2 linked regions of the Oryctolagus cuniculus genome follow. The protein of the gene in region 2 purifies or fractionates together with the protein of the main gene of each other region. This does not show direct contact. Links are inferred from orthologs where the notes say so. Each region holds a gene or a part of one and is shown on either strand. Other genes may lie near its edges. The genes, in order: KPNA4 and NCBP1.

Region 1 (3,822 bases), on a different chromosome or scaffold from region 2:
AAAAAACTTTCTTTTTAAAGTTTTACAGTTGTTCTCGTTATCCAGCCAAGGCTAAGTGATGACTTAGGTTAAGTTTTTCTTATGCTATTACTATACTTTACAGACTCTAAGTCATTGCCACATAAAACATTCTATTTACCTCAGAAAATTAGAGAACATGCTGCATATCCCTTTACCATTGCAGTTTGACAGTTATTACTTCTATTTGTGTGAACTTCTCATCCTCTCTTTTGACACTACATATAGGTTCTTTCAGATAAATACTGTGTAAGAGGATTTAAGAACAATTGAATAAAATAAAAAAACAAGCTTAAAAAAGTTTAAGATGGTGAAAACAATTTAGGGAGCTAAGTAGCATTTATCTGCACAAAACCTTTTTGCACAAAGTCTTTATAAGTGCCAGTGAAGCTAAGAGCGAACCAAACTTTCCAGATCAGTAAAAAGGGACAGGGCGGAATGGGGGGTGGGGGGAATTGGACTGTGGAAGAGGAAGAAAAATAAGAAAAGGAGTAGGAATTCTAAGTATCAACACCTGTTTGATTGCACTCAAGCTGCTAAACTGAATTGCCTATAATACAAATCTGTATTCTACAAAGGAGTCTCTTCCTAAATATGTATTTTTCAGAGAGGGTGGGGAAAGGTAGGTTCAAGCTGTAGTATCCTTACCTCATTTTTTTCCACCTTTAAAATGGGAATAAAATAATTTACTCTTACCATCACAGACATGCTGTCATGCTAAGAATATCCTTTAAACTATTGAAATTGTTTGGCTCTGAATGTCATGTTTACAGCAATTATTATTAGAAAAACTTAAAATTTTTTATCACGAACAAACTTACCTGAACTTTAACTTCCTGATGGCTGAGCAGAGGAACCAAATGAGGAACTATTCCAGAGTCTATTACCATCTGTATCTGTTCATTGCCAGCATCAGTAAGGTAAGAGAGGGCCCACACTGTATCTACCAAAATCTAATGAGTAAAATGAGAATTCAAAGAGCATTTGAATATTTTCTCATTTTAGTAATTCTTAACCATACAATTAATCTAAGATTGTTCTACCACTTGTTTTCTTCTCTCACATGACGCCTTCAAAGAAACACACCAACACTTCAAAAATACAATGTGAAAATGAAGAGACTGAAGAAATGCTGGAAATGGAATTTAAATTATAGATTATAGGATTACTCAGAAGTAATCAGAAGCAAATCCACGAATTAAAGTAATATATACATGACACAAATAAAAAAATTTTCCCATGAAATTGAGAATTTAAAGAGAAATGAAAATGAAATATTGGAAATGATGAATTCAATAGATCAAATAAAAAATGTGGTGGAAAGCCTTAACAACAGACTCGGTAAGGCAGCAGAAAGAATATCCAAGTTAGAAGACAAATCTCTGGAGATTTTAGACCAAAAAAAAAAAAGAAGAAATAAGAAAATTAAAAAACAGTGTTGGAGATTCATGGAATACTATCAAACCACAAAACATACAGGACACAGGAGTTCCTGAAGGTGAGGAAAGAGAACGGATTACAAGGCCTTTTTAGTGAAATAATTACAGAAAAACTTCCCAAATTTGGAGAAAGGGGCCTCCAAGTACAAGAAGCACATAGAACTCCTAATAGATATGACCAGAAAAGATCCTCACCATGACACATTGTACTCAAACTCTCCACAGTAAAAAAATGAACACGAGAGAAACTCCAGATTACTTTCAGAGGATCTCCAATTATACTCACAGCCGACTTCTCATCAGAAACCCTGCAGGCTAGGAGAGAATGGTGAGATATATTCCAAGTCTAAAGAGAAAAAAAAACTGTCAACCCAGAATACTGTACCCTGGCAAAGCTCTCATTTAGGAATGAAGGTGAAATAAAAGACCTTCTATAACAAACAGAAATTCAAAGAATTTGTCACCACTCATCTAGCCTTACAAGAGATGCTTAAGATGTGCTACACACAGAAACACAGTCATCACTATGAAAGAAAATCTCCCAGCACGAGAACAAAGGAAATAAAAAGTAAGCAATAGGAATATTTATGGAAAACATCAGGGCCAATAGGCACCTTGAATGTAAATGGCCTCAATCTCCAGATAAAAGATACAGACTGGCTGAATAGATTAAAAAATAAAACTCATCTACTTGTTGTCTACAAGAAACATATCTCACCAACAAAGATAAATGCAGGCTGAAAGTGAAAGCATAGACGATATTCTACGTTAACAGAAACCAAAAAAGAGCTCGTATAGCCATCCTGGTATCAGACAAAACAGTTTTTAACACAAAAACTGTCAAAAGAGACAAAGAGGGCACTATGCAATGATTAAGGGTTCAACTCAACAGGAAGATGTGACAATAAATGTATACAAATCTAATTACAGGGCACCTGGCTATTTAAAAGAAATGTTAAGGATCTAAAGGGAGAAAAAAAAAAAACTCCAATACAATAGTAATGGGGGACTTCAATACCCCACTTTAAAAATGGAAAGATCATTCAGACAGAAAATCAGCAAGGAAATAGTTAATCAAAACTATAGACCACGTGGATCTAACAGATATTTTCAGAACTTTTCATCCTACAGTTGCAGAATACACATTCTTCTCACCAGTGCACGGAACTTTCTCTAGGATGGACCACATGATAAGCCATAAAGCAAGTCTTAGCAAATTCAAAATCATACTATGCCATCTTCTCTGACCACAATGGAATGAAGTTGGAAATCAAGAACTTAAGAATCTCTAGATCACATGCAAATTGAAAAACATGCTCCTGAATGAACAGTGGGTCATAGAAAAAAATCCAAAGAGAAATCAAAAAACTGTTGAGTAACAGTTTTTTTTTTAATACTATTTGTTGAACATTTTACTTAGTACAGAGTTAATCTTCTGTGTATAAAGTTAAATGAAAATAGATTTTAGTAAAAAATAAGAATGGGAATAGGAGAGGGAGTAGGAAGAAGGGTGGAAGGGCAGGTACGAAGGGAAGAATATCTATGTTCCTAAAGTTGTATTTATGAAATGCATGAAGTTATATACCTTAAATAAAAGGTTTCTGGGGGAAAAAATCACGATTTAAATCAAACTAGATTTCATATATTCTTTTGTGACAAAGTTTGTATTCTGTAAGTTTACCAATTACAACTAAATGTAATGTTGGTGCTTTAGTTATGGCTTGTAGAAGCAGTTAACTAGTTTTATCTTTAGTTCTTTGATGGCTTGACTTAAGAACACACTGCTAAATGTCTACCCAAGATGACTCTAATAAACATCACTATTTAGTAAATAATATTATTAATTAAATATGTAACTAAAAACAACAATATAGACTGGCTTGAGAAATTCAAGGCACATAAAAAATAAAGATAAATGTAATCAGAATCTCACCTAGATTGAGGTAAAGAAACATAATGCATCTCTGAATAAAGTAAATGAAGATGTCTGGTTTTTTAGTGGTAGTATAACTTTGAGATTAATCTTTTTTTATGAATATTTTAAAAGAAAAATGTTGAAATTTATACTTCAGTCAAGGAACGTGGCTTTCAGGAACCAAAAACAAAAAATGCTTATATAAATATTTAAGATCTATCTGATTCAATCAGACTATCTGGCGCTTAAAAAACATCTTTAGAGCAAAGAGCATGTTTAATAAATTTTGTACATTATATCACTACTTGATGTAGCAAAATTCTGATTTTAATTTGTTCTACATACTTTTAGGGGATTCTGGCAAAAAAAAAGTATAATCCTAAAACTGTAAAGAAATGAAATAGCTCATCAAACACTGCTATCACCATAGCAAATCGTTTTTTAAAGAAA
Region 2 (3,822 bases):
CAGTAGGGACTCAAACTGCACTACCATATGGGATGCTCACATTGCAGGCACCCTAAACCCACCATGCCACAGTACCGGCTCCAAGTTATTTTTTTAATGCAGTTAATTTTTGAAGTTTAAAAAATGCACATACAATTAGTGGGTTTCATTTTAACGTCACATTATTAAAAGTACAGTTAATTTGCTTTAGAATTTTCAAGAGGAATACAGTTAATATTCAGGAACACATATCTTTAAAAAACTAATAAAAATCATTTTGCTGTGGTTATCCAAAAAACTCCTTCTCTTTTAAAAGCACTTAGTAGCATGGAATAGTGTTTATACTTAAACTCTTGTCAGAGGCTATGTTTGTTTAAGGCTGTACCAGTATTGCTTGGCACTATTTTTTAATTTGAGGTTTGGGGAGGTTTATAGGGAGTATGATTTCTGTCCAAGTATTTTTGAAGACCTAAATTGTCCCTAATGCTAGATACCTTAGGAAAACCTTTAACTAGATTTATAAATATGTAAGGTTATAAACTTATAAGAATCCCTTCCCCGTTGAATTATCTCAGGAGTCGCTTTAGTGTTTGAACTTATTTCTAAAGGCTGCCTAAATTATGAAGCAACAGTTGCTTCTTCTAAAGGTTTATTATTGTAATCCTCTCTCCTACTTTTCAAATAATTTTAATGAAATCAACAATGAGTACCAAGTTAAGATTTCAACAGTTTAAGTGATAGGAAATTAGTTGAAATTGGTTTTATTCTGCATCTTTTATAAGTGGCTAGAATAGTGTTTCTCAAAGTGGAATGGGTCCCATGACATTTGGTTAGTTAAGTTTTAAAACTCAGTGCTGTGCCATGTGCCACTCCCCCACCCTCTTAATGATTTTGCATTAAAGAAACTTGTTGTACCCAGAATCTTGTATTTTACCATGGAAGTCATGTCTGGGGAGCTGCTATTTGATTCTACTCAACATACTTGAAGAAAAACTGGTCTAGCGTGAGCTGTGGTATTTATTTCAGTGGTGAAATAACTTCACAATTAAACCGTTTTCTAATTTTTCTTTAAAGATTTTATATATTTGAGAAATAGTTACAGAGAGGCAAAGAGAGAGAGAGAGGTCTTCCATCCGCTGGTCAACTCTCCAATTGGCCGACCCGAAGCCAACCAGGAGCTTCCTCCAGGTCTCCCATATGGGTGCAGGGGCCCAAGCACTTGGGCCAACTTCTACTGCCTTCCCAGGCCACAGTAGAGAGCTGGATCGGAAGCAGAGCAGCGGGGACATGAACCTGCGCCCATATGGGATGCCGATGCTGCAGACCGGAGCTTCAACCCTCTGCCACAGCGCCAGCCCCAGTCTTTCCTAACTTTTTAATTAACTAGAATTAAAGTGAAAAAATTGGGAATCCATGTCTGCAGCTCTTCTTATGGACACATAAGCTTTTTATGGAATAGTTTTACAAACATAATGGTGATCCTATTCCAAAAGTAATGAATGATGAAACATTTATATGAAATTCAGCAAATTAATATAATGCCATTGTTTTGGGGGTTTCCTGTTGTACTGGTTCTCAAATCAGTGCACGTCTGTTACCTGAGAAGTTGACAATTTATACAACGTTGGTTGGACTGCTGAATGCCAGGAATTACAACTTTGGTGGAGAATTTGTAGAAGCTATGATTCGTCAACTTAAAGAATCATTGAAAGCAAACAATTATAATGAAGCTGTGTATTTGGTAAGTTTTTATTTCTATAATTTTGAAGTTTATTTGAGAAACGGAGCTCCCATTGGCTGGTTCAGTTCACAAATGCCCATGATGGCTGGGGCGGGAGGCCCAAACCTGGAGCCAGGAACTCGGTCCAGGTTTCCCATGTGGGTGGCAGGAGCCCAGGCATTCTGATGTGGATGCTGGTATCCTGACCTGTGTCTTAGCTGCTGGAGCGAGCACCACCCTTAACTTTTTATTTCTGTATATCATGACTTAGTGTTGGTATGGAGGAAAAAGGTAAGCACTAACTAAATACTGTGTCTTTTCTCTTGAGAGTCAGTCTCCTATTGACCCTAACAACTGCTCTTTTAAAACCGTTCTCATTAAAGGCACCACAGAGCTCAATACCAAATCCAGGGTCTTTTTTCACTCGGAATCCTAGCTGGTTTCCCTGTATCACCTGCCACCTCCTTTTTTTTTTTTTTTTTTTTTTTTTTTTGTTAATAGGCAGAGTTAGTGAGAGAGACAGAGAAAGGTCTTCCTTCCATTGGTTTACCCCCCAGATGGCTGCTACAGCCGGCGTGCTGCACCAATCCGAAGCCAGGAACCAGGTGCTTCCTCCTGGTCTCCCATGCGGATGCAGGGGCCCAAGCACCTGGGCCATTCTCCACTGCCTTCCCGGGCCACAGCAACCAGGACAGAACCCGGCGCACCAACCGGGACTAGAACCCGCGGCGCCAGCTGCCACCTCCCTTCTATTCCTCATCTTTTACTGGGTCATCTTCCTTTAAACACTCTGCTAGCTTCATAAACCACCTTTGTTTTGATGCTGCCCCCAAATCTGAAAGTGTTTCTCCAGTTTCAAACTTTCTCATAAGTACCAGACCTGTATTTCAAATGTTCCCTGCAAAGCTCTAAGATAACCTTACCTGGAAATCCTTAAATTAATGTCAGTCACATTTCCTTTTTATCTCCTCAACTCACAGTGGCCACTGTCTACTTGGTGACCCACCCAGAAACCTGAGTGTTAACTTTTGTCTTCCTTTTGTCTTTTGAGTTGTTTGCAGCCTACAGTTCTGCCTCCTAAATTTCTCTCATATTTGTTCCTTCTCTATCTCAAGGGCTACCAGTGTACTTCACACCTTCCTCCTCGTGTTCATAAGATCTCTTTAATTTTTTCACATCTAAATTTTCTTTCAGTCTTTCTGCAGTGACACCAAAGTGTTCTTTGTGTTCAGCTCATGGTGGTTGGTGTCTAAAACCCCAATTCCTTCCCATTGTCCTCAGTGATCATAAATCCTGGGGAAAAGGTGATTGACTGGGTTGCAGAAAGTAAATATTAGAACTCATTTATTATAAATGGAATTAAGCCTTAATGTCTAAAACATAAATTGGTAGTGATCCAGTATATATTGTAAATATACCTGTGTTGGAGATAAGGGATCAGATTCTTTTTATGAAGTATACTGTCAGAGTCTGGACCCTCATCAGGCTATAAGACTGAGGTCCAGACTCTAGCTGGACCCTTAGTGGTTGCCCTGATCTGTTTCTTCGTACCTCCTACACTCTCCGCTGTGTCAAAATTACCTGCTCCCTAGTTTGCCCTCTCTGCTCACTGCTTGAGGGGTATGTACCTGTTAGGACCTAAGCTAGTTACTGCCTTTATGATGCTGACCCTACTCACTCTGTCACTGTTCTTATAGCACTTTGATTTGCCTCTCAGTAGAGGACTCATCCCTTTGTGTGAGAATGTGCCTGCCAGGATCTTACCTGTAACAGGAACTTTAGAAGTGCTTACCAGTGGCCACAAAGGGCACCCAATAAATTAAACAGATTTTCCATTATTATGGTTCAGGAAAATTATAGCCAAATGGGAAAGGACTTTGTAGGTGATGTCACTAAGATATTTACAGGCTGAGCTCTTAGTGTCGTGTAGCATGGGAACCTGTGAGCTCAGGTTTTCTGTTCTTCATGTGGTCTCTCTCACAGCTACTCAGCTCTGCCATTGTAGCACTAAAGCTACCATGGACAGTGTATAACTGAGCATGACTATCTTCCAGTAAAAATTAACTGGGTGCTGAAATTTGGGTTTCAAGTAATTTGTGTTAGAAAATACTCTTTCCCACCCC

Evidence for each region.
Region 1: the proteins of NCBP1 (region 2) and KPNA4 purify together in Homo sapiens (co-immunoprecipitation; 3 studies listed by BioGRID and IntAct, with this or other methods). This does not show direct contact. The link is inferred for Oryctolagus cuniculus from reciprocal best matches to the Homo sapiens genes NCBP1 and KPNA4.

The regions. Positions count from the first base shown.
Region 1 is NC_091435.1:120,225,586-120,229,407, reverse strand, and holds part of KPNA4 (importin subunit alpha-3), read right to left. Parts: intron 972-3,822; coding exon 840-971; intron 1-839. UniProt on the Homo sapiens protein: Functions in nuclear protein import as an adapter protein for nuclear receptor KPNB1. Binds specifically and directly to substrates containing either a simple or bipartite NLS motif.
Region 2 is NC_091432.1:201,441,498-201,445,319, forward strand, and holds part of NCBP1 (nuclear cap-binding protein subunit 1), read left to right. Parts: intron 1-1,563; coding exon 1,564-1,720; intron 1,721-3,822. UniProt on the Homo sapiens protein: Component of the cap-binding complex (CBC), which binds cotranscriptionally to the 5'-cap of pre-mRNAs and is involved in various processes such as pre-mRNA splicing, translation regulation, nonsense-mediated mRNA decay, RNA-mediated gene silencing (RNAi) by microRNAs (miRNAs) and mRNA export.